7 linked regions of the Macaca mulatta genome follow. The protein of the gene in region 2 interacts with the protein of the main gene of each other region in a pairwise test. Links are inferred from orthologs where the notes say so. Each region holds a gene or a part of one and is shown on either strand. Other genes may lie near its edges.

Region 1 (3,500 bases), on a different chromosome or scaffold from region 2:
AACAGAGTCAGGAAACTTCTTGACAGCCTGGTCACCAGGGGTTTGGGAAAAGGTTCTATTGGAGTGGAGACTGATGGATGGAAAAAAGAGAGAGGGAAATTGTACCTGATACCAAAGAGATGTTTTCAGCCGTCAACCAGCTGCAAAACAAAATGGGCTTCCTTTTCCTACATATTCTTCCAAGCATTATAAATCCTCGGTCTGCTCCCCAACCCACATCCTACAGGATGCAGCCAGAGCAACAGCCCCACTCCACTCTGGAACCAGTCATCCTAGGGATGCAGCTGGTCAAAAATCCCTGTGGACGCTTTCTCAAGATCTGCACCAGACCCTGAGCTGCCCAGGTGTTGCTGCTCCAGAATTCTCTTAGGAATATGTCTCCTACATCAGTTAGTTACAGCCACACTAATACAAGATCACAAACAATCCTGATGATCATTTCTTAGCTTCCCTGTTGGAGGTTGGTTGGTGTTGGCTGATCTCTGCTTGGTTCACTCCTGCACTGGCTGGGTGTTGCCTGTGTGGTAAAGCTGTTCCCTGTCTCATCCTGTTGGAATGAACAGAGTATCCTAGGAATATTTTCTCCAGAGCAGTGGCAGACACAAAGGGTCAACAGAAATCCTCAAGGCTTTGTCATGCCTACTCTTGCAACTAGCACATTGTCATTTCAGCCTCATCCTATTGACTAAAGTAAGTCACTTGACCAAATTCAAAGCTGTGTGACAGGGAAATATATTGCACCTCTTTAGAAGGAGCACCTGCAAAGTCATTTGGGCCTGGATATACAGGGCAGGGAGAATTTTGGAGACAAAAATGCAATCTGCCACATCTATATTAGTGAAGTCAATTTTTCATATGTGGCTATCAGAACAAAGCACTTCACTTACCAACTCTATTCGAATAAATTGAAATTATTCAACTTAAAATTATGCAAGCATTGCTCCCCTTGTGCCAAAGAACTGCACCATGTCTGATTGGCTTTGCAGGTCTGTGTAACTCGGCTGATAGCTGGATGATAGTACCCAACATCAAGCAGAACCACTACACGGTACACGGTCTGCAGAGCGGCACCAAGTACATCTTCATGGTCAAGGCCATCAACCAGGCGGGCAGCCGCAGCAGTGAGCCTGGGAAGTTGAAGACAAACAGTAAGTGCTGTGAACTCAACAGAGCTGTCATGTCTTATCTGCTCTTCTTTCAGCTGACTCTGTCCCCCTTTCTTTTCCTTTCCTCTCTCTTGGGTATCATTGACAGCCCCCCAAAACAAGTAAAAAGCCAGTGTGGAATAATGGAATTTGCATCAGATACCTCTAGGTTCCAAAACTGATTTCTATTCCTTCACAGCCGTGAGACCATTACTCTCTCTGAACTTGAGTCTTCTCATTTTTTTTTTATTATACTTTAAGTTCTAGGGTACATGTGCACAACGTGCAGGTTTGTTACATATGTATACATGTGCCATGTTAGTGTGCTGCACCCATTAACTGGTAATTTACATTAGGTATATCGCCTAACGCTATCCCTCCCCCCTACCCCCTACCCACAATAGGACCCGGTGTGTGATGATCCCCTTCCTGTGTCCAAGTGATCTCATTGTTCAGTTCCCACCTATGAGTGAGAACATGCGGTATTTGGTTTTCTGTTCTTGTGATAGTTTGCTGAGAATGATGGTTTCCAGCTTCATCCATGTCCCTATAAAGGACACGAACTCATCCTTTTTTATGGCTGCATCATATTCCATGGTGTATATGTGCCACATTTTCTTAATCCAGTCTGTCACTGATGGGCATTTGGGTTGATTCCAAGTCTTTGCTATTGTGAATAGTGCCGCAATAAACATACGTGTGAATGTGTCTTTATAGCAGCATGACTTATAATGCTTTGGGTATATCCCCAGTAATGGGATGGCTGGGTCAAATGGTATTTCTAGTTCTAGATCCTTGAGGAATCGCCACACTGTTTTCCACAATGGTTGAACTAGTTTACAGTCTCACCAACAGTGTAAAACTGTTCCTATTTCTCCACATCCTCTCCAGCACCTGTTGTTTCCTGATTTTTTAATGATTGCCATTCTAACTGGTGTGAGATGGTATCTCATTGTGGTTTTGATTTACATTTCTCTGATGGCCAGTGATGATGAGCATTTTTTCATGTGTCTGTTGGCTGTATGAATGTCTTCTTTTGAGAAGTGTCTGTTCATATCCTTTGCCTACTTTTTGATGGGGTTGTTTGGTTTTTTTCTTGTAAATTTGATTGAGTTCTTTATAGGTTCTGGATATTAGCCCTTTGTCAGATGAGTAGATTGCAAAAATGTTCTCCCATTCTGTAGGTTGCCTGTTCACTCTGATGGTAGTTTCTTTTGCTGTGCAGAAGCTCTTTAGTTACATCCCATTTGTCATGGGATCTTGATCTGGTGGATAAGATTTTGATGTACTGCTGGATTCAGTTTACCAGTATTTTATTGAGGATTTTTGCATCAATGTTCATCAGGGATATTGGTCTAAAATTCTCCTTTTTTGTTGTATCTCTGTCAGGCTTTGGTATCAGGATGATGTTGGCCTTGTAAAATGAGTTAGGGAGGATTCCCTCTTTTTCTATTGATTGGAATAGTTTCAGAAGGAATAGTACCAACTCCTCCTTGTACCTCTGGTAGAATTCGGCTGTGAATCCGTCTGGTCCTGGACTTTTTTTGGTTGGTAGGCTATTAATTATTGCCTCAATTTCAGAGCCTGCTATTGGTCTATTCAGGGATTCAACTTCTTCCTGGTTTAGTCTTGGGAGAGTGTAAGTGTCCAGGAAATTATCCATTTCTTCTAGGTTTTCTAGTTTATTTGCATAGAGGTGTTTATAATATTCTCTGATGGTAGTTTGTATTTGTGTGGGGTTGGTGGTGATATCCCCTTTATCATTTTTTATTGCATCTGTTTGATTATTCTCTCTTTTCTTCTTTATTAGTCTGGCTAGTGGTCTATCAATTTTGTTGATCTTTTCAAAAAACCAGCTCCTGGATTCATTGATTTTTCGGAGGTTTTTTGTGTCTCTGTCTCCTTCAGTTCTGCTCTGATCTTAGTTATTTCTTGCCTTCTGCTAGCTTTTGAATGTGTTTGCTCTTGCTTCTCTAGTTCTTTTAATTGTGATGTTAAGGTGTCAATTTTAGACCTTTCCTGCTTTCTCTTGTGGGCATTTAGTGCTATAAATTTCCCTCTACACACTGCTTTAAATGTGTCCCAGAGATTCTGGTATGTTGTATCTTTGTTCTCATTGGTTTCAAAGAACATCTTTATTTCTGCCTTCATTTCGTTATGTACCCAGTAATCATTCAGGAGCAGGTTGTTCAGTTTCCATGTAGTTGAGTGGTTTTGATTGAGTTTCTTAGTCCTGAGTTCTAGTTTGATTGCACTGTGGTCTGAGAGACAGTTTGTTATAATTTCTGTTCTTTTACATTTGCTGAGGAGTGCTTTACTTCCAACTATGTGGTCAATGTTGGAATAAGTGCGATG
Region 2 (3,036 bases):
TTTTGTGCACTAATACTTCAGCCCTGGATGTTGATGAGATTGCTTCTTCCACTGATCGTCCTCACTTGGTCATTGGCACCCACTTCTTTTCGCCAGCTCATGTCATGAAGTTGTTAGAGGTTATTCCCAGCCGATACTCTTCCCCCACTACCATTGCCACTGTTATGAACTTATCAAAAAAGATTAAAAAGATTGGAGTCGTTGTAGGCAACTGTTTTGGATTTGTGGGGAATCGAATGTTGAATCCTTATTACAATCAGACATATTTCTTGTTAGAAGAAGGCAGCAAACCAGAGGAGGTAGATCAGGTGCTGGAAGAGTTTGGTTTTAAAATGGGACCTTTTAGAGTGTCCGATCTTGCTGGGTTGGATGTGGGCTGGAAATCTAGAAAGGGGCAAGGTCTTACTGGACCTACATTGCCTCCAGGAACTCCTGCCCGAAAAAGGGGCAATAGGAGATACTGCCCAATTCCTGATATGCTCTGTGAATTAGGACGATTTGGCCAGAAGACAGGTAAGGGTTGGTATCAATATGACAAGCCATTGGGTAGGATTCACAAACCCGATCCCTGGCTTTCCAAATTCCTATCACAGTATAGAGAAACCTATCACATTGAACCACGTACCATTAGCCAGGATGAGATCCTTGAGCGCTGCTTATATTCACTTATCAATGAAGCATTCCATATCTTGGGAGAAGGGATAGCTACTAGCCCAGAGCACATTGATGTTGTCTATTTACATGGATATGGATGGCCAAGGCACAAGGGCGGACCCATGTTCTATGCTTCCACAGTTGGGTTGCCCACAGTTCTAGAGAAGTTGCAGAAATATTACAGGCAGAACCCTGATATTCCCCAACTGGAGCCCAGTGACTATCTAAAAAAACTGGCTTCTCAGGGAAACCCTCCCCTGAAAGAATGGCAAAGCTTGGCAGGCTCCCCTAGCAGTAACTTGTGATTCAGCCTTCCAGATTATGCCTCACATGCTAGCATCAGGTAATGCTCACTGAATTTCAGTGAAATTAAATCAAAAATCCAAAGTAAGATTGTTCTGAAATACAAAGCAAAAGAAATAATCAGTAGAGTCTTCTGTGTGACGACTCTAATGGTCAAATCTTTAGGAATGTGCTTCCTATGTCTCTGAATCTGTCCTTATCAGATAAATTCAATGCATGAACTTGTGTGAATGTAATATCATAATCGCTGATGAAAGAGGCTCAGACATAAGTTGAGATTCTCAAATGTTTTGATTATTGGATACATGTGTCATCAATTAATAAATGATAAATGCAGCTAAGTCATACATTGATTTTGACTCCTTTCAATGTCACACACATAGTATTGATCAGAAATCTTATGAATCATACATACACTCAACAAACATTGAAGTCGTAGGAAAAACATGGTTGGAAATTGGTAAGGGAACTGAGTACTTCAAACCAGCACAGGGAACTCAGATTAGTATGGCAAGCCTTTCCTCTTCTGGTCTTTCCTCTTCTGTTTATGAAGAAATAATAGAAAGGAGTAAGTCGTTAACTTAGTGTAAGAAGGGTCTTAGAGAACATCTAACCTTCTAGAATTTCCCAATTCTATGATAGAGTAATGACGCCAGTTTCCCTGTCATGACAGGCCTCTGTGATGTTACATATGGAAATGGTTGAATCTTGAAAAATCTAAAATTGTTGCAAAACATATTTTGTATAATTTTGTTATAAGAGTTCTTCTCTTTTTACTTTTTGCGTTGTGTAGTCAAAAATTAAGGGGCTGGTCAATACAAAAACTAGTACACAAATATTTATAGCAGAATTATTCATAATGGCCAAAAGTTGGATACAACCCAAATGTCTATTAACTAATGAATAGATAAATCTGGTATATCCATACAATGGACTATTATTCAGTCATAAAAAGAAATAAAGGACCAGGCACAGTGGCTCACACCTGTAATCCCAGCACTTTGGGAGGCTGAGGCAGGAGGATTGCTTGAGGTCAGAAATTTGAGACCAGCCTGGGCAACATAGCAAAACCCTGTCTCTATAAAAAATACTTCCTGTACATTAGTGGTTGCCTAAAGCTAGAATTAGGGATGATGGATGGGGAGTACAGGATTCATCTAATAGGTACAGGATTTCTCTATGGTTCATGAAAATGGTCTAAACTTATTGTGGTAATGGTCACATAACAATATATTAAAAACTATTGAGTTATATATTTTAAATGGGTGAATTATATGGTATGTGAATTGTATCTCAATAAAGTTGTTAGTAAATAAATGGGGCTGAAGATGTTATCCTTCATTGTGGTGGAAATGAACTTTCACAATATTTTCACCTGTGAACCCAAACAAAATGAAAGTTCTGATGGAAAAATCTTGAATGAATAGAGTATAAGTTTTCCGTTGTTAAAGAGCAAACAAAAAACCAACAAAAAATCCAAGTGTGCCTTGAATTGTACAGAGCACAATTATTACGTTTGAAATATATACTACTTAATTTTATATAATTTGGTTTGTGAAATTAAAGACATCAATGAAAATGATTCCTGAAAGTAGTAATTTTGTCTCCAAAGTGACTTGTTTTCAAATTAATGTTAAAAAAAAAACCCACTAACTTTTTCTTCAATCCTGGAATTAATTTTGAGTTCTTGCAACTTATTTTCACCCTACACTAGCCTCTAGATTGAGGTTTTGAAATCAGAGCGTCTATGAATAGATTTTATCAGTCAATAACCCCTGAAATGTTATGATAAAGTTTGTGTACATGTATCTGAGTACATTTCTTGGAAGAGGTACCATATCATATTCTAAAAAGTATCATGACCCGGCCGGACACAGTGGCTCACATCTGTAATCCCAACATTTTGGGAGTCCGAGGCGGGCAGATCATGAGGTCAGGAGATCGAGACCATCCTGGCTAATACGGTGAAACCCCATCTCTACTAAAAATACACAAAATTAGCCGGGTGTGGTGGCACGTGCCTGTAGTCCCAGCTACTTGGGAGGCTGAGGCAGGATAATTGCTTGAACTCAGGAGGCA
Region 3 (3,031 bases), on a different chromosome or scaffold from region 2:
GACCTGGCTGAGCTGATGGAACTGCTCCAGAGCCTGGCGACACCAGCACTGTTGCTTGTCACTGCTGCACCCTGCGCACAGCGGGCTCTGCAGGAGCCGGTAGTACCGGCGACGGGCATACCGGCTGTCCAGCTCCCCCTCCAGTTCCGGGTCTGTGCCCCCTTCCCCCTTCCTCTTACTCTGCATATAGACTCTCAAGAAGCACCCATACAGACGCTGGATCATCTCTTGGAAGGTTCTGGGGGTACTAAAGAACAAGACTCCGCGCAACATAGTGTGGACTTTTTCTCGCAGCCCCTGAGCACCAGTGCCCATCAGCAAGCCCAGGCGAGTCCATTTCTCCAGCAGCTCTAGGCTACGCAGGTAGGGATCCAGGCGGCTCTCCAGCAGGCCAAAAGCGTCAAGGAGCAGCAGAAGGCACTGGGGCTCATCCGTAGAGTTCTCGCATTGGGAGATGGCATTCCAGAACTCAGGGGAGATGTTGGCCTGCAGATCGTTCTGCAGCACCTCTACGAACCACTCCTCCAGGACCGAGTGCAGGCCGTGGCCCCTCAGAACCTCCACCGCCGCCCGGAGCTCCTCTTCCTTTGGCGGGACTGCACCGCTGGTCCGGGAAGACACCTGGAGCGCAGAAAACCGTGAAGCGAGGGGAACACAACATAGAGGTGGGGAGAGGCGGGGAAGGGAAGAAGCTGAGGGGTAGGCTGCAAAAACTCCGCTGCCCCCTGTCCGTGGTGTCCGGACGTTGGGCCGAAACTAGGGAAGGGCTGCCAGCGGAGCTGAACGAAATGAAGTGGAATGGCGGTGGAAAGCGGCAGGACAGGCCAGAGGCGGATGACGGACAGAGCTGTATGAACCCGAAGGTGGCCGCCCCAAAGTGCATAGGGTCCCGGAAACTCCGCGCGGGGCCGCCGCTCTCTTCCCAGGCCTCACCAGCCCCAGCGCAGCTGGCGGCACCAGGCCGGTGCTCACGGTATTCCAGGCCACTAACAACTCCTGTCCGGGCCGGGAGTCGCTGTCCCCCTCCGCCACCACAACTGCCGCCGCCATCTGCAGCCACCGGCTCCGAGATCCCCTCGGCACGGCGCAAAGCGATGACGCAAGTCTGCACGCGCAGCCATGACGCGCACAAGGCGCTCAGCGATGACGCGTAGTTCGGCGCGCCGTCAGGGAGTCGTGCGCAGGCGCGGACAGCGCTGGTTCCGCGTCGGTTGGGGTGGCGGGGCCCCGGGCGGCGTAGACCATGACCCAGCAGGGCGCGGCGCTGCAGAACTACAACAACGAGCTGGTCAAGTGTGAGCGGCGCAGCCGGGACGGGGAGGTCGGGAGGGCCGCAGGGCCGGGTTCCCGGCTCGCAGCGGGGTGCCCCTGGACCCGCCTAGTTGCGGGCATCGCGCAGCTGAGCAGAGCCCTCCGTGCCGGGGGCTGGGTGTCCGTGGCCCCGAGCCCTCGTTGGCTCGCAGGCCCCGCGCCGGGTGCTCGGGGGTGGTGCCTGACTCTGGCTTCCTCGGGTGGAAGGAGGCCCGCCCTCCGCCGCCGCGCTCCTGCCCTGGGCCCACAGCCCCGCCCCTCCCGGCCCCCCAGGCATAGAGGAGCTGTGCCAGAAGCGGGAAGAGCTGTGCCGGCAGATCCAGGAGGAGGAGGACGAGAAGCAGCGGCTGCAGAATGAGGTGAGGCAGCTGACGGAGAAGCTGGCCCGCGTCAACGAGAACCTGGCACGCAAGATTGCCTCTCGCAACGAGTTCGACCGGACCATCGCGGAGACGGAGGCCGCCTACCTCAAGGTGGAGCTCGGGAGGCCAGGCGGAGCATCAGGGGATAGCCGCGGCAGGGGTGTAGCCGCGGCAGGGCGTCAGGACCGTCTGGGGCTCCCAGCTGTGGGCAGTCTGTGCCTCGCTGGCATGTCGGGCAGGAGCAGCGTGGCCAGGCCCATTGAGGAACCCAGGCTGCTGCGGGAGTGACCGTGGGGCTGTCTGGGGGACCTGGGGCATCCTGGGTCCTGGTCTTCATCCGGTTCTCGCTAGCCATGTGGTTCTTTTTGCTTAGAGTGTGAAGAGCCACGTCTTGGGCCAGTGCTAACCCAGCCTGGCTTTGAGGGTGGGGAGGAAGTGTTCCGGGTCAGATTCAGGAGGGAAGAGGGCCCTGTTACCCCGTCTGCCAGTCCCCTTGGGCTTCCGCCTTCCCCCGCACAGGATCCCTTGGCTACAGCACCCACAGCCAGGTCCCAGAACCTGAGTGTGAGGACAGCTGGGGCTTAGGAACTTCCCAGCAGGTGAACAGTAACAACTTTCTCACTTCTCTGGCCCCAGATTCTGGAGAGCTCCCAGACTTTGCTCAGCGTCCTCAAGAGGGAAGCTGGGAACCTGACCAAGGCTACAGCCTCAGACCAGAAAAGTAGCGGTGGCAGGGACAGCTGACCAGACCACGGGCAGGGCCTGCCTCTGTGCGCCCCTCAGCTCAGCCCCGACAAGTCTGTCCTCAGAGCGTCTTTGTTCTTCACAGCAGCAGCTGCCTTCCCTCACTGTCCCCGGTGCCGAGAGGGGCGGCTGCCAGCCTCTACTGGCATCATTGACAAGCCAGGGCACAGCCCACCCAGGGGCTTCGTGCTCACACGGGCTGTGGGGATGGTGGGTTCCAGGTCAGCTCTGCAAAGGGCCTGTCTCTGTGGCACCCACACTCCTGCCCTGCTGGGGAGGCCCTGGTTGTCTGAGCACCATGGGGGCCCCCTCAGCTTGTCCCTCCTCAGCCAGCAGAGGCCCAGGGCAGGGGACAGGGGTTCTCCTTCACCCCAGAACCCAAACCTCAGGGCTCACCCCTGTGGCCTGTGATTATCAATAAAGATTATCTTTGTAAAGGTCCGTGCCAGCCTGCTGCTTGCCCGTGTCAACAGTGTGGGGCTGCCAGACACCCGCAGAGCCAGAGCCTGAGGCTCCCCCTTGGGAAAGGAGGGAGGAGGCGTCTGGAGTGGTCTCCCTATGACTGCCCAACTAGCCTCAGGGACACCGCTGAGGGTGCCCACCCTGCCCAGGCC
Region 4 (3,500 bases), on a different chromosome or scaffold from region 2:
CTGCAGCCTTGACTTGGCAGGCTCAGGTCATCCTCCCACCTTGGCCTCCCAAGCAGCTGAGACTACAGGGATGTGCCACCATCTTTGCTACTTTTTGTATTTTTTTTTTGTAAAGACCATGTTTCACCATGTTGGCCAGGTGGGTCTCGAAGCGATCCACCTGCCTCAGCCTCTCAAAGTGCTGGGATTACAGGCATCAGCCACTGTACCTGGCCTCATTGTTTCTTATTGCTGAATAATATTCAGTTGTATGTCTATACCATATTTATACAATTACCTGCTTATAGACAGTTGGGTTATGCATTATTTTTAATAATGAACTTGGTTCCGCTTACATTTTTCTCGCCTTCAACACTTTCCAAAATGCTCCAGCACTCTTCTCTCTTTCATCCTTCTGATCCAAGAGAAAAAAGTTGGAATCTGAGTACTCTGCTTTTGAAAAACTGCACACTCTTTGTTATCAAGCAGCTTTTTCTATGGCCTCCATTTACTTTATTTATTTAACTAGAAACTCTCCACTGTATTCCAGTCACTGGTGGACAGAGGACCAGCCTTAGTGCTCACTTCATATGGCATCTTGACATATGATCTTGGGACATCCATGAGCTAGATGATTGTGCTTCATGTTTAGCTCTTCACGTACTTCTTTTTCTTTTTTTTGTGGGGGAGACAGAGGCTTGCTCAGTCACACAGGCTGGAGTGCAGTGGTGCAACCTTGGCTCACTGCAGCCTCTGTCTCCCGGGTTCAAGCAATTCTCATGCGTCAGCCTCTGGAGTAGCTACAGGCATGTGCCACCACACCTGACTGATTTTTGTATTTTAGTAAAGATAGGGTTTCTCCATTTTGGTCTGGCTGGTCAAACTCCAGTCCTTAAGTGCTCTGCCAGTCTCAGCCTTACAAAGTGCTGGGATTACAGGCTTGAACCACTGCGCCCGACCCTCTCCTACTTTTTATTCCTAACTTTCAGAGGTCATAACTAATAATGGTGCAACTGTACAACTCAGCCGCTGGGAACCCATAGTTACAGTTAGGACCAGGGCACAAAATTCACTTACATGTAGAGATTGTCAGCCCCCTTGCTTAAACAGTTGCATGTATCTTACACATATATCAGAATGCTGGATTCACAGCAGGACAGATCAATTCCTTGTCACCCAGCTGTTTGCTGTATTCTTAATGTTAGATGCTAAAATCTGTCTTAGTTAATGAAGAATTAAATAAATGAGGTAGGAAGTTATATTTTCTATGGTAGTTTATGTAGATAATGATATAATAAACAGCACCAGTGGACTCCTATTCTAAGGGTGCACCATTCAAATAAATAAATAATAAAAGGACAACATAATAGGGACTTACTAGGTCTCAGTCTCTTTGCCAAGCTCTTATGCATGAATTCGTAATAACCTTCTGAAGTAGGTGCTACTATTTTCTTCATTTTTAGTTAAAGCAACAGAAGCATCAATAGGTTGACTCAAGTTGACAGCTAGAAAATGTCAGACTCTAGATTGAAGTGTGGGTCTATCTTACTTCACAACTGGAGTGCTATTTAACGCACCTTAGGATTGTAGATTGTTTTGGTCAGAGATGATTTCTTATGTTCTAGTTTAGGATTCGACAATTTTAGGCACCAAGTGAATAAATGAGTCATAGAAGAAAAGGGGGCACTGTTAAGAACCTGTTGAAGTCTCCTTTTATATGATACTCTTTTTAGCCCTGTTTTACTGTGATGGTTTGTAACTTGTTGGGATAACATTTATTAAATAAGTTGTTCATATTAATCTGGTGTATTTACAGGTGGTTGCTGTATATGGAACTTTATCTGATTTGCTTTCTGTGGCCAGCAGTAAACTCGGCATAAAAGCCACCAGTGTATATAATGGGAAAGGTGGACTGATTGATGATATTGCTTTGATCAGGTAACCTTCACCTTTTTATAAGCTGTCAACAGTGTGCCTCAACTTCTTGGTGCTATGCTGTTTCCCTTAAGCAGTAGTTTAATCACTGTTAAGAATACAGGATTTTGGCAAGTGATTACCTAGAATTTGCTCTTTGGAATTTAAATCATTTGGGCTTAAGCTGTATTGATCAGCTAGAAAACCCTTAGTATACATTTCAGTATACTGATAGTCTTTCTGCATAGTTCATATATGGCTATGAGGAATTTCTTCTTTGTGGTACTACAGCAGGATCTAATAAGACATGCAGTTTTTAACGTTAGAAATCTAATTCATCTCTTCACTTTTATATGCACCTGCTTGTTAATCATTTCCTAAGAAATGCTTTGCATTTTATAAATATTACAAAGGCCAGATTTTGTGAAAACTTTATAAATATGATATAATTCTAAGTAGAGATATCACCAGTGATCCACCATAATTATAGACTTATTTGTTTGTTCTTTAAATATCCCAGGCAGATTCATCTCTTTAAAACAAGTGTGTAGTTCACCTTACTTCATCTTCACGAGGTCAGAGTATTTTGGAGCAGGAAGATGCTTAACAAAGAAGATGGTAAAGGGAACACAAATTAAGTGTTGACTATGCCAGTTATGTTATAATTGCTTTGCCTGAGTTATACCATTTGATTGGCAGAGCATGAGTTTTTTTATCAATGATGTGAAGATAATGATGCTTTAAGTTACAATAATACACAGAGTCTCTGTATAAATCCAGATCAAAATGACCTTTCAATATAGTATACTGCTTTTGCAGTGAATCAGTTCTAGACCCTTCATTTTACAGACGAGGAAACGAATTACCTGTGAAGCTGAGGACTCACTCAGGTCATACAGCTAATTGGGTTTTGTTAATGAAAAAAAAAACCAGATTTTTATACTAATCTGAAAACAGTAAATTGGCATGGTGAACAAGTAGGAAATACTATATACTACATTTTAAATCCAAATAAATTAGGATAATTTCGAGTTTTTCAATATGTATCTCCCAGCTTCTTTCAGTTTCTAAGGAAAACTGAGTCACATTGTTGGATGATGGTCCTCATCAACCTAACTTTCTCCTTAACAAGCACAAACTCTGCTTCTTAGAAAAATTTAATGTGTCCTGTGATGTCCTATAGGAAATAAAAACTTCTACAATGGAAGGTTATAACTGAAGCCTTCTGAGCTATAAAATACCGACTTATTCGTTTTAGGTTCACAATACGTTATCTGGTGTAATGGGTTGAGGAAGAGGATGTACACTGATTGTCTAGAACTGTGGGTTATGTGCAACCATTTACATTTGGGTGTATGGTGGATCTGTAGTGGGTAAACACTGACAGCAGAGTTACTTCCAGCTATATTTTTCCTAGATTTAATATGACAGTTTATTTCATCTCCAAAGCACACAACAGCTAATGATTTAGGGGTAAAAAAAAAGGTAAAGAAAAAAAGAGGAGTTAGCTGTGGCTTTAATCTATCCTTTGAGCATAATTATTCATTCTCAGTTGATAAGAAAGCTGAACTCACATAATTTGTGTAGTGGGATTTTCCCCCCCATTT
Region 5 (4,126 bases), on a different chromosome or scaffold from region 2:
CTGTCCCAAACCTGAGTCCCTCTGACCAAGGCAACTTGTTCAGAGAGCAGTGGTGCCACCCTGAGAGCACTTTAGGACAGTGCCATCTCCTGAGATCACTAGTCACATTCCAGTCATTGTGACCAATATATGAGTTACCAGTGGTGGTCAAAGGTAGACCAGAGGCACAGGCTGTTGAGGGAATACCCTCTATTAAAGAAGGTTCTAAGAATGAAACATGGAATGCTCAACTTGTTAAAGTGCTCAACTACAACATTAAAAAAGTGTTGGAAAGGTGTCTACTGGTGAGAAAGCAAGGTACAATCTGAGGGGCTCCTGGAAAGATACAATTTTAAAAGTACACAAAAGGAATTCTGCTTAAATCATTCCAGCAATGAGAGAGAAAAAAGTTTAGAGCTTAGCCTCTGAATTACTCAAGCTCTAAATCAAATGTATCCGTAGGTGGAGACCAACTCCTTTAATTCCTCATGGAGACGGAATAAAACATTTACCACTGTCTTTTGCTCTAATTCTTCTCTCACTAAATAATTGAAAATCTGGTTTCCTTAATGGACATCACCACTACAAAAATGTCCACCATGGGCAAGTGATCAACTTAAGTATGAATGGCCTATAAACTGCTTTCCTGCAGGGTTGGCTAGCCAAAACCTGGAGTGGGATGAGAAATTTGAGTTTCCACATCTGCCAGGCTGAGAGGCCCATATCTTAAAACAAGAGGTCCATAATGTATCAATGTATCTATTCTCTTGGCATGATTACAAGATCCATGACTGGTGTGCCATGGTAGTGAGGGAAAAGTACCCATCAGCAGCAGTGGTTATTTCATTCTAGAAGCTAGTATATAGCCTCAGCAGTCACTTGTAAGTCCAGTGGGCAGTGGCCCAGCCCTGGCCCTTGCACAGGTCCCGGTGGCGGAGAAAACAGGCATGGACTCGGAAACGACGGCCACAGTGGGGACAGGCATGCAGGGCTCCAGCATGGGTCTTCATGTGCTCTGTCAGATGGTGCTTCAGCTTGAAGCGCTTGTTGCAGACGCCACAGCCAAAAGGCCGAAGGCTGAAGGTCAGCATGATGTGCCGGTCACGCTTTGGCTTCACTGCAAACCGCTTCCCACACAGGCAACCAAAGCGTTTTCCATCTGCAGGGGGTGTTCCCCCTAGCTTCACAGGCCCATGAACAGCCTGGCCTGCTCCCCCAGGTCCTCCTCCCCCTGACAGGATTTCATTCCCATGAAGATCCACTGGTTTCCAGGATGGACCCCCTCCCCCAGATGTTGGCCCTGCCCCTGAAGGCAACAAGAACCCTAGCTCCCCATTCCCTTCAGTGTCCCCTCCAGAAAACACTTTGGTTTCCTCCTTTGCTCCTCCAGGCTGAGTTCCACTTCCTGATATCTCCTCCTTAGGCTCGAAGGGTTCCTGCTTAATGTAGAAGATTTTAGGGGGCAGCGCAGTAGGAGGGGCAGGAAGCTCAACTGGTGCACTCTCACCCTCTGGAAGCTTTCGGGGAGTAGCAGTCACGGGCAGTGGGTGGGGTCCATGAGGACGGGGAAAAACCCCTGATACTCTCTGGGGCTGAGGAGTCTGAGAGAGTGTGGCTGACCCCTGGTCCTCATCATCATCTTCTTCCTCCTCCTCCTCTTCTTCTTCTACCTGAATTTGCAGCACTTCTCCCAGTTCACTTCCCTCCCCTCCCACAGGGCTCTCAGTGGAAGCAGGGCTTTCAGTGGAAGCAGAGGACTGTACTGGAGTCTGGAAAGGCGAAGAGCGAATGCACCAGCCTCCTGTAGAGGATGTAGTGGAAAGAAGGGCATGGTAGGAGTTTGCTCCACGGGCTGAAATTCCACCACCTGAAGTTTCTAATTCTCTAAGAATCTCTGAGCACTGATCTACTACTTGCCACATTTGAAGGCCACTGGCCACAAGGAGATGAGCAGGAAGAGCATCCAGTGGTAGGCGGAGACGCCCTGAATAAATGAGCTGGAGCAGCCCTTCGAAGGCATCGGCTTCAATGACACTCGGCAGAGTGAGACGAGGTGCATCCCCCAGAAGCAGCTTGTCATGGAAGTAAGGAGAGGCAGCAGCCAACACTGCTTTATGAGCCCTAAGTTCCCGGCCCTGCACCAGGAGGGACACATCACAGAACTTTCCCTCTAGCCTGTGGCGGTTCAGAGATTCCAGTAGCGATGAGCTATGCTGCGGAAACTCGATCTGGATTGTCCGTGGGGCTGGGTTGCAGGTCGGGGAGGCGGGTACGGGCGGCAAAGGCGTTGGGGTTTCCATGGCCTCCTCGAAGGTGAGAAGAATTGGGAAGACGAGAGGGGCCTGGGGGTAGACTCTACGCGGGATGAAGGCTGCAAAGGAAAAAGATGGAGGTCACAGAAGCCCTGGATAAAGGGAGCCACATCTCTTCAAACAACTCCCTCCCCCCACGAGCAATAACTGGAAACTTTTAAGTCAGTGGCGGTTTCTGCAAATCAGTCCAGCACACCAAGAAAGAAAAACAAACAAACCACCACCACCACCAAACACCAACCGGGGTTGTAACTTCCAGCCCCCGTGGAAGATGCGAAGGAGGTCCTTCAGCCACGAGCCTGTCTTCACCTGCCCAGAACAGCTCCTGCCCCGCCGCTCCGTTCCGCCTCACAGTGCCCACAGAGGTCTGCTCCCGGGAAACCGCGGTCACCCGGACACCGGGAGTCCCGGCCCGGCTGTCCTTCCCGCCGACACGCCCCCGCCGTTACACACGCGGCGCTGCCCTCGCAGCTACAGTGCCGCTACAGCTCCGTCCCAGGCCGGAAGCCGCCGCCTCCCCGCCGGACGCCGTCGCAAAGTGCGGCGGGCGGAGCTAGAGGCGTAGCCAATCGAGGAAGGGCAGCCTACAAGCCTCGTGTTGACTGGCTACCGCAGACGAGGAGGGCGGTGCTAGTAGGAGGGCGCTGGCTCAGGGTGCCAGCGTATCGGGCGTCTGGGGTAGCTGCCGAAGTCCTCGCCGCTACAGAGGACCGAGAGCCAGGTCCCAGGAGAGAACAGACCGGTCGGAGGGGGCGGGCCGTCAGCCGCCCCGGAAAGCTGCGTTTCCCGGTGATTAAGTGTAGCACCCGCCCCCGGTAGGTCCTGAGAGGGGCAAGATTAGTTGGGCACTTACCATGTGGGCCTGGCACTTGCCCACATCACCTTGTGTCCTCCCACCGGCCCTGCGAGGATGGGGGTTGCCGTCCTCAGTTTCCAGGCGGGGGAAACGGGCTGGAAGCGTCACTCAGTTAATAGTAGTGGACCTGGGACTGGATCTCAGATTTGCTAAGGAACTAGGCAGGTTCTTTCCTCTGTTCTGCACAGGAGCATTTTAACCAGCAATTAAAGAAACCTTACTTCTAGGTGATTTTTAAAAGAGATAAATGTGGATATATACATGAATTCTTTTATCAGATAACGCCGCTGTTCCTGGCCTCAGACTAAGTGACACAGTGGTGAGGGGAGGGAGAGACTGGAGAAGTTTGGCCAGTGCAAAACTCCTGCTCTAAAATATAAAAACTCTCATTGGGAGGGGAGAGTGACATTTTATGAGGAGAGTGTGGCATCAGGTGGGGATGTACGGTTTTCCTCTCAGGCTGTCAGCTTCCTTTCAGAAAGCAGATCTTACCACCGTACAGGTCTGTCTGGAGAGCCCTGCCTAAGAAAGTCGGCACAGCGATAAAAGAACAATCTCCGTTTATTAAACATGTTTTTTTCTGTTTCACCACACACTCCAGAAAAAAAGGAAATGGGGCTGGGAGTGGAGAAAAGGGGACAGCGAGGGGGGGATAGATAAGGCTGGGAGTGGGGTGGGGAGGGAGAACGAGAAAACAAAATAAAACAGGTAGGAAGAGCATCTCCCTACCCTTAAGGTAGTGGGTGGGGAGGGAAGCAGAGGGGCGGGGGGGGAGGGGGCCAGGAAGCTCTGTACAGAAGGGTTGCCCCCAGCCCACACACACACACCCCGGATATGTACAGTACAAACCCCAGATAATTACAACAGCCAAAGAAGAGAGAAGGAAGGTTGGGGAGGGTCCAGGGCTAGGGCCTGAGGTGGGGAAAGGGCACAGGGATAAAATTTCACATATTTACAACTTTTATATAAGTATAAATTT
Region 6 (3,987 bases), on a different chromosome or scaffold from region 2:
CAAGAGGGGCCTGGAGTGCCAGGTGGAGGTGTAGAGACACAGCCAGTGCCCATGGAGAATGGTGGATGTCCTTAGGGGTCAGCAAGTGCCCTGTACTAAGGAGGGGGCTTTGGAGGTTGGGCAGGCCCTCTGTGGGGCTCCATTTTTGTGGGCGGGGGGGGGGCCCTGGAGCATTATAGGGGGTGGGAAGTGATTGGGGCTGTCACCCTAGTCTTCCTTGATTATCTGACGCCCATCCATGCCTCCTCAGGTACCCCCTGCCCCCCACAGCTTCTCTCCTGTGCCTTGTTTCCCAGCCGATGCGTTCTCCTCTATAAATACTCACTCTGGTATTTGGGGTTGGCAGCTGTTGCTGCCAGGAAGATGGTTGGGTTGACATGCAGCTCCTGACAAAACACAAACCCCTGGTGTGTGTGGGCGTGGGGGGTGTGAGTAGGGGGATGAATCAGGGAGGGGGTGGGGGACCCTGGGGGCAGGAGCCAGACAAAGTCTGTGCGGGGGTGGGAGTGGACATAGCAATTGGAAACTGAAAGCTCATCAGACCCTTTCTGGAAATCACCCTACTGTTTATAAACTTGAGGCCTCGCCATCCACAGTAGGGGGGAGGAAGAGGGCCTGTACCAGTCCAGAGGGAAACTGAGGCTCAGGGCCAGCTCGCCTGCAGATATACATGGCAGGCTTTGGCCAGGATCCCTCTGCCTGCCAGGCATCTCCCGGCCCTCCCTGCCTGCCTAGAGACCCCACCCTCCAGCCTGGCTGGTCTTTGCCTGAGACCTCCCAAACCTCTTCAACTTCAAGACAATGTTTAGGAACAAGGTGGTTTGGGGCCTTTCTGGAAGCAGGCCTTGACCCTTTAAGAAATGACCCAAAGTCTCTCCTTGACCAAAAAGGAGGCCCTCAAACTAAAGGGAAGCCTCTCTTCTGCTGTCTCCCCTGACCCCCTCCCCGGCCAGGACGAGGAGATAACCAGGGCTGAAAGAGGCCCGCCTGGGGACTGCAGGCATGCTTGCTGCCCTGGCGAAGGATTGGCAGGCCTGCCTGTCACAGGACCCCCACTGGCTGACTCAGGGGCGCAGGCCTCTTGCGGGGTAGCTGGCCTCCCCGCCCCCACGGCCAGGGGCCGCCCTTTCCTGGCAGGACAGCGGGATCCTGCAGCTGTCAGGGGAGGGGCAGCGGGGGCTGATGTCAGGAGGGATACAAATAGTGCAGACGGCTGGGGGCCCTGTCTTCCCTCGCCGCATCCACTCTCCGGCCGGCCGCCTGCCCGCCGCCTCCTCCGTGTGCCCGCCAGCCTCGCCCGCGCCACCACCATGAGCCAGGCCTACTCGTCCAGCCAGCGCGTGTCCTCCTACCGCCGCACCTTCGGCGGGGCTCCGAGCTTCCCGCTCGGCTCCCCGCTGAGCTCGCCCGTGTTCCCGCGGGCGGGCTTCGGCTCTAAGGGCTCCTCCAGCTCGGTGACGTCCCGCGTGTACCAGGTGTCGCGCACGTCGGGCGGGGCCGGGGGCCTGGGGTCGCTGCGGGCCAGCCGGCTGGGGACCACTCGCGCGCCCTCCTCCTATGGCGCGGGCGAGCTGCTGGACTTCTCTCTGGCCGACGCGGTGAACCAGGAGTTTCTGACCACGCGCACCAACGAGAAGGTGGAGCTGCAGGAACTCAACGACCGCTTCGCCAACTACATCGAGAAGGTGCGCTTCCTGGAGCAGCAGAACGCGGCGCTCGCAGCCGAGGTGAACCGGCTCAAGGGCCGCGAGCCAACGCGAGTGGCCGAGCTCTACGAGGAGGAGCTGCGCGAGCTGCGGCGCCAGGTGGAGGTGCTCACTAACCAGCGCGCCCGCGTCGACGTCGAGCGCGACAACCTGCTCGACGACCTGCAGCGGCTCAAGGCCAAGTGAGGGCCCGGCGCCCCAGACTCCTCTTTCCGCGGGCGGGGCACAGGGGGCTAGGCCTGGGGGCTGGGGTCCCGCTGTCAGCACATGCCTTCTCCCGGGGTCCGGGACCCTCTCCTGCCCCACGCGGGGAAAGGGTCCTCCACCCGTGTGTTTCAAGGGGCCGTGACCTCCAGGTCTCTCCCCCTGCGATCCCATCTTGCATAGGAGTTTTCTTGGGGACATAGATCAGGGGGTGGATATGGGAGAATTTAGGGGACCCGGTGCCATTTGGGCAGCCCCCTTAAAAAGCATTTTAAGATGCTGGGGCGATGTTTATGGGGTCAGGTAGTTGATGGGCAGAGGAAGGGCTGCAGGAAGCCCAGAGGGCAGTGTAGCCAGAGGGAGAAGGGAGGCTGATAGGAGACAGGGAAAGCAGGGCAAGGGCCCAGAGTCCAAGCAACAGCTCTCAGCTCAGCTGTGATGAGGCCCTGGGGAGGCAGGGTGGAGTGGGGAGCTTGACCCTGGGGACTTGCTGAGACTGTGTGTTTTTACAAGGTGGATAGACAGGCTGGAGAAAAAGGGAGTAGGTGGGGGCCACAGCTCTCAGAGAGCTTGGGAGGACCTGACTGTAGGCCTCACCAGGCTCCTGAAACGAAAAGGGCAGCAAGTATAGCGTATCTGTTGGTCCCACTTCTGACAGGCCAAGTGAGCAGAGTCACCCTCCTGCCACCAAAGTCATAAATATTAATTGAGCAGTTATATTGGCCAGGCTGGAGCTGGGAACCAGCAACACAGAGGCGGATAAAATAGACACAGTTTCTAACCCCAGGGAGGTCACACAATCTGGTGGGGACATAGACTTCAAGGGTGTGGCTCCTGGGCAGAGATTGGGCCACTTCCTGTGCCCTCCCTGGATGGGTGGGGCCTCTCCACTCCCTTTCTCTCCTGTGTCTACCCAGCAGCCAGGCCCTCCCGCTCTGTCCCATACCTACTCCCTGGTCAGCACCCGGCCAGTCGTTTCCACTGCCAGCTTTATCGCCCACAACTGTCTGTCTGTCTGTCTGTCCCACCCAGGCTGCAGGAGGAGATTCAGTTGAAAGAAGAAGCAGAGAACAATTTGGCTGCCTTCCGAGCGGTGAGTGCCCTTCTTTTCCCCTCGCATGGCCTCTGGCTTTGCTCTACCCCACCTGGGTGGTGGTGACTATGTCCTTCTTGCTTGGCCTCTCCCAGGACGTGGATGCAGCTACTCTAGCTCGCATTGACCTGGAGCGCAGAATTGAATCTCTCAACGAGGAGATCGCGTTCCTTAAGAAAGTGCACGAAGAGGTATGCCTTGGCCCCTCTTCCTGGGGTCACTGGGCCATGGGGAAAGCAGCCGGAAAGTGGGGCTGGGGTGAGGCTCTGGCTGGGAATAGGGGTGTGAGGGTGCTGTGTGGGCCCTGAGAGGGGACTGAAGCCCAGCCATGCCCTACAGGAGATCCGTGAGTTGCAGGCTCAGCTTCAGGAACAGCAGGTCCAGGTGGAGATGGACATGTCTAAGCCAGACCTCACTGCCGCCCTCAGGGACATCCGGGCTCAGTATGAGACTATCGCGGCTAAGAACATTTCTGAAGCTGAGGAGTGGTACAAGTCGAAGGTGGGTGGCCTCACCCAGGGACTGGCATCTCTGTCACCCTGAGCCCCAGCTTGGATGTGCTGCCTGTGGCATCATCCATGGGAGGAGAGCCCAGAGGCTCCATGCTCCCTTGCTCATCCCTACCTGTGCCCTGCATCCTCCTCATTTTTGGGCTCCTTTCTCCGCCCTTAGGTGTCAGACCTGACCCAGGCAGCCAACAAGAACAACGATGCCCTGCGCCAGGCCAAGCAGGAGATGATGGAATACCGACACCAGATCCAGTCCTACACCTGCGAGATTGATGCCCTCAAGGGCACTGTGAGTCCCTACCCACCTGGCCAGGCCCTGCCCCTTCCTGTCTGCAGTTCACACCCTCACTTTGTGACCTTGGGCCCATCATAGACCCTCTCTGGGCCTTCATCTACTTAAATCTACAATAGGGATAAAACCAGACAAGTGGATTCCAGTTGGATGCTAAAGAATCAGGGGTTCCTGGGGCATCTG
Region 7 (3,500 bases), on a different chromosome or scaffold from region 2:
TAATGGGAAGTGAGTTTAGTTTTCCTTGCAGAACATTGAAGATTAGTAAAAAGAGGGACTTTACTTTGGAAACAAGCAGAGGGTGTCTCTACATGCTCTGAGTCAGCAGGAGGGTGTGTGTGTGTGTGTGTGTGTCCGTGTGTGTGTGTGTGTGTATGCATGCGGGAGGGTGGGTATATTTTTTCCAGGAAGAAATACTATAAATCCCAGCACTTTGAGAGGCCAAGGCAGGCAGATCACTTGAGTCCATGAGTTCAAGACCAGCCTGGGCAACATGGCAAAACCATGTCTCTACAAAAAAATACAAAAATTAGCCAGGTGTGGTGGCTCATGCCTATAGTCCCAGCCACTTGGGAGGCTGAGTTGGGAGGTCTGCTTGAGCCTAGGAGGTCAGTGCTGCAGTGAGCTGTGATCGTGCCACTGCAGTCCAGTCTGTGTGAAAGAGTGAGACCCTGTCTCAAAAAAAAAAAAAAAAAAAAAAAAAAAAGACTAGTTTTGAGTATATTTGAAATACTTTAGGGTATCTTAGATGCCAGTTTTCTATGTTGAGTATATTTCATTTTATGGTTTGGCAGTTTAAAATTCCAGGATTGTATTTAGAGTTATAATCCATAAACCTAGTAATAGGCATGTATAATGCAAGACACCATAATTCCTGTAAACTTAGTTTTTGAATTTTTTTTCTCTCTTTTTTCTATTTAGTTTCCATCTTTTATCCACAGCCAAAAGAGAAATCCTCAGACGCATCTGAAGGATCCGGATATGGTCTGGGACTTCTGGAGCCTACGTCCTGAGTCTCTGCATCAGGTAGGAACCCTTTTTTTCCATTGTCTTCTATCACCTGGGATGCAGTGTTTAATTATGCCTCCTCATAAAGTGTCTCTCCAGTTTTGGCTGTTTTATTGGAATAAGCTTCCTCAGATTTCTTGATCGTGAAGAGTTTTGTAATAACTGGCTTTAATATCCCCCATTCATCAACCTTAAATGGTGATGATAGATAGATAGCAACATTGTCAGTTGATATTTAGCAATAGTAAGGATGAAAGTCTTTAGTACAAGATAAAGCTCTGTATTAGGGAAGTGAGGGGAAAGTAGCACCAAATTTGCTATGAAAATAAATTTTGAATAACAAATTAGGCCAGTTTTCAGGTTGTTTCAGCTTTTTCCTTCATAGAATTTTGAGTCATAGTATTAGTGATTTGCATATCATTTTGGTTTAAAATTTTTCTGTTTGTTATTTTCTACAGGTGAAATAATGGTAACCCTTCCCATGGGAAATAGGCTCGTATGTTTTATGTCATTAAGGGACTTTCTGGAACCTAAGGAGTATCTTAAAAATCTAGGATGTTTTGATTTAAATGAAAACATTTTAGGCTTTATATTTCTGTTCCTTAGGTTTCTTTCTTGTTCAGTGATCGGGGGATTCCAGATGGCCATCGCCACATGAATGGATATGGATCACATACTTTCAAGTTGGTTAACGCAGAAGGAAAGGCGGTTTATTGCAAATTCCATTATAAGGTACGTGTTATACCTTTGGGGCAGAATGTACAAGGCTCCTACCACACACCTCCTTATTTTTCCTGAAGAATTGAGCAAAGATTAAGGCTTCTCCCACTTTTCCCCTCACCTCCCTCCCCAAACATGGGAAGTATTGATCTCACTGATCAGTACTGTGAGTATTTTGTTGGCTTCCACCTGAGGACATAACTTCACACTGTCCTATTAGAACTGTGTGTGGTTCCTCTTTAGTCTCTCTTTTACATGTGGCCAGAGGTGAGGCACATGGCTGCGATCAACAGTTTAAGCTTCCTTTTTCTGGATCCTGTGTCCCTTGTCATAAATATTTAGAAAATGTGCTTCTTTTGTGCTGCTTCTGGTTTAATGTTTCTGGGCTGGCAGCTTCATGTTGAGTACAGCGTTCTCCCTGAAGTGGGAATATCTAAGCTTTTGGTTTGGGCTCAAAGAAGATAGTATAGACCTCTAGGCTAGGCAGAAGGAAATAATTTCCACCTAGTTTAGCCTAGTTTTTTTTTTTTTTTTTTTAAAGATAGGCTCTCGCTCTGTTACTGAGGCTGGAGTGCAGTGGTATGATCGTATCTCACAGTAACTCCTGGGTTGCAGTGAACTCCTGGGCTCAAGGAATCCCCCTGTCTCAGAGTAGCTGAGGCTATAGGCACACACCACCATGCCTGGCTGATTTTAAAATTTTTTTTTTTTTTTTTTTTTTTTGAGACGGAGTCTCGCTCTGTCGCCCGGGCTGGAGTGCAGTGGCCGGATCTCAGCTCACTGCAAGCTCCGCCTCCCGGGTTTACGCCATTCTTCTGCCTCAGCCTCCCAAGTAACTGGGACTACAGGCGCCCGCCATCTCGCCCGGCTAGTTTTTTGTATTTTTTAGTAGAGACGGGGTTTCACCGTGTTCGCCAGGATGGTCTCGATCTCCTGACCTCGTGATCCACCCGTCTCGGCCTCCCAAAGTGCTGGGATTACAGGCTTGAGCCACTGCGCCCGGCCTTAAAATTTCTTTTATAGAGATGGGGTCTTGCTGTGTTGCCCAGGCTGGTCTCAAACTCCTGGCCTCAAGTGCATCCCCAACTTTGGCCTTCCATAGTGTTGGCTTTCCATAGTGTGAGCCACTGTGCCTGGCCCTAGCCTGGCTTTTCTAGAGTTCTTGTTGGAGTTTGGAGTTCAGCTCTAGAAAATAATAAAGTGCCTAGCCCTGAGTCATTATCCTGAGCATAGATACCTTTTAGGGCCCAGAAGAGGGCTAACACCGCTTGGAGCATATCCAAGTCTCACTATCACTTCCAACATCCAATGGCATCTTTCCAGTATCATTTCTTCTAACTTTTTAAGTCATCCATCTATTCACTTAGCATTTATTGAGGTTGTATTATGAACAACGCATATAAGTAAAATCAATTACAAATGTCAGAAAACAAAATTGTACTGTTTTTAAAAATTTGCGTTCATATAGCCAGATCAAATGCGTTACATCTGGGGAGGGTTTTGAGAATGTTTTAATCAACTGAAATATTTTAAAGGGTTCTCTTTTGGTTTAAGCATGGCATTCGTTACAATGAGCAATATTACCAGTGAACCCTGGTGTGTTAGTGATATTCCCAGAGAACTCCCGAGGGCTAGGTAAAAACAAGCCTGAGAACCTCTGTTTCCAAATACTGCTGCTAAGATAAGCAGAAAGAAGTGGGCTCATGACCAGTACTGGACAGTCTCTCTCTTAATGACATCCAAAAGCCCTGTTTTCTTCTATCCTGTTTTCTTCTGTCCTGTTTCCTTCTTTATCTGAACAACTTAATGTAGGCATATCAAACAGGAGAACTATCACCTCTTTTTATCATCATAACTTGAATCTATAATATTTGACAAGGAAACATTTTATGGAACATAAAATTGGCTTGTAATTGCCAAAAGGATCAATGTAGTGTTACTTAGAGTAAGACTAAATGGTTGTCTCTGGGACAGCCAGTCTAGTTGGTAGC

What was found.
Region 1: the proteins of EHHADH (region 2) and MID1 interact in binary tests that used the Homo sapiens proteins (3 or more experiments, as listed by UniProt). The two-hybrid records come from large-scale screens. The link is inferred for Macaca mulatta from reciprocal best matches to the Homo sapiens genes EHHADH and MID1.
Region 3: the proteins of EHHADH (region 2) and SSNA1 interact in binary tests that used the Homo sapiens proteins (3 or more experiments, as listed by UniProt). The two-hybrid records come from large-scale screens. The link is inferred for Macaca mulatta from reciprocal best matches to the Homo sapiens genes EHHADH and SSNA1.
Region 4: the proteins of EHHADH (region 2) and KCTD9 interact in binary tests that used the Homo sapiens proteins (3 or more experiments, as listed by UniProt). The two-hybrid records come from large-scale screens. The link is inferred for Macaca mulatta from reciprocal best matches to the Homo sapiens genes EHHADH and KCTD9.
Region 5: the proteins of EHHADH (region 2) and ZBTB9 interact in binary tests that used the Homo sapiens proteins (3 or more experiments, as listed by UniProt). The two-hybrid records come from large-scale screens. The link is inferred for Macaca mulatta from reciprocal best matches to the Homo sapiens genes EHHADH and ZBTB9.
Region 6: the proteins of EHHADH (region 2) and DES interact in binary tests that used the Homo sapiens proteins (3 or more experiments, as listed by UniProt). The two-hybrid records come from large-scale screens. The link is inferred for Macaca mulatta from reciprocal best matches to the Homo sapiens genes EHHADH and DES.
Region 7: the proteins of EHHADH (region 2) and CAT interact in a two-hybrid assay, tested with the Homo sapiens proteins (2 studies listed by BioGRID, with this or other methods). The link is inferred for Macaca mulatta from reciprocal best matches to the Homo sapiens genes EHHADH and CAT.

Annotation. Positions count from the first base shown.
Region 1 is NC_133426.1:10,016,958-10,020,457, reverse strand, and holds part of MID1 (E3 ubiquitin-protein ligase Midline-1), read left to right. Parts: intron 1-986; coding exon 987-1,148; intron 1,149-3,500. UniProt on the Homo sapiens protein: Has E3 ubiquitin ligase activity towards IGBP1, promoting its monoubiquitination, which results in deprotection of the catalytic subunit of protein phosphatase PP2A, and its subsequent degradation by polyubiquitination.
Region 2 is NC_133407.1:97,345,624-97,348,659, reverse strand, and holds the end of EHHADH (peroxisomal bifunctional enzyme), read left to right. Parts: coding exon 1-959; 3' UTR 960-2,536; downstream 2,537-3,036. UniProt on the Homo sapiens protein: Peroxisomal trifunctional enzyme possessing 2-enoyl-CoA hydratase, 3-hydroxyacyl-CoA dehydrogenase, and delta 3, delta 2-enoyl-CoA isomerase activities. Catalyzes two of the four reactions of the long chain fatty acids peroxisomal beta-oxidation pathway.
Region 3 is NC_133420.1:5,265,395-5,268,425, reverse strand, and holds SSNA1 (microtubule nucleation factor SSNA1), read left to right. Parts: upstream 1-1,173; 5' UTR 1,174-1,243; coding exon 1,244-1,295; intron 1,296-1,584; coding exon 1,585-1,784; intron 1,785-2,309; coding exon 2,310-2,417; 3' UTR 2,418-2,531; downstream 2,532-3,031. Other genes in the region: ANAPC2 (anaphase-promoting complex subunit 2), read right to left, coding at 1-621, 934-1,050. UniProt on the Homo sapiens protein: Microtubule-binding protein which stabilizes dynamic microtubules by slowing growth and shrinkage at both plus and minus ends and serves as a sensor of microtubule damage, protecting microtubules from the microtubule-severing enzyme SPAST.
Region 4 is NC_133413.1:27,191,491-27,194,990, reverse strand, and holds part of KCTD9 (BTB/POZ domain-containing protein KCTD9), read left to right. Parts: intron 1-1,795; coding exon 1,796-1,917; intron 1,918-3,500. UniProt on the Homo sapiens protein: Substrate-specific adapter of a BCR (BTB-CUL3-RBX1) E3 ubiquitin-protein ligase complex, which mediates the ubiquitination of target proteins, leading to their degradation by the proteasome.
Region 5 is NC_133409.1:148,823,512-148,827,637, forward strand, and holds the start of ZBTB9 (zinc finger and BTB domain-containing protein 9), read right to left. Parts: upstream 2,801-4,126; 5' UTR 2,601-2,800; exon of another isoform or gene 2,533-2,600; intron 2,351-2,532; 5' UTR 2,280-2,350; coding exon 855-2,279; 3' UTR 1-854. UniProt on the Homo sapiens protein: May be involved in transcriptional regulation.
Region 6 is NC_133417.1:124,658,791-124,662,777, forward strand, and holds the start of DES (desmin), read left to right. Parts: upstream 1-1,187; 5' UTR 1,188-1,310; coding exon 1,311-1,888; intron 1,889-2,942; coding exon 2,943-3,003; intron 3,004-3,098; coding exon 3,099-3,194; intron 3,195-3,342; coding exon 3,343-3,504; intron 3,505-3,675; coding exon 3,676-3,801; intron 3,802-3,987. UniProt on the Homo sapiens protein: Muscle-specific type III intermediate filament essential for proper muscular structure and function.
Region 7 is NC_133419.1:30,827,241-30,830,740, reverse strand, and holds part of CAT (catalase), read left to right. Parts: intron 1-702; coding exon 703-807; intron 808-1,395; coding exon 1,396-1,521; intron 1,522-3,500. UniProt on the Homo sapiens protein: Catalyzes the degradation of hydrogen peroxide (H(2)O(2)) generated by peroxisomal oxidases to water and oxygen, thereby protecting cells from the toxic effects of hydrogen peroxide.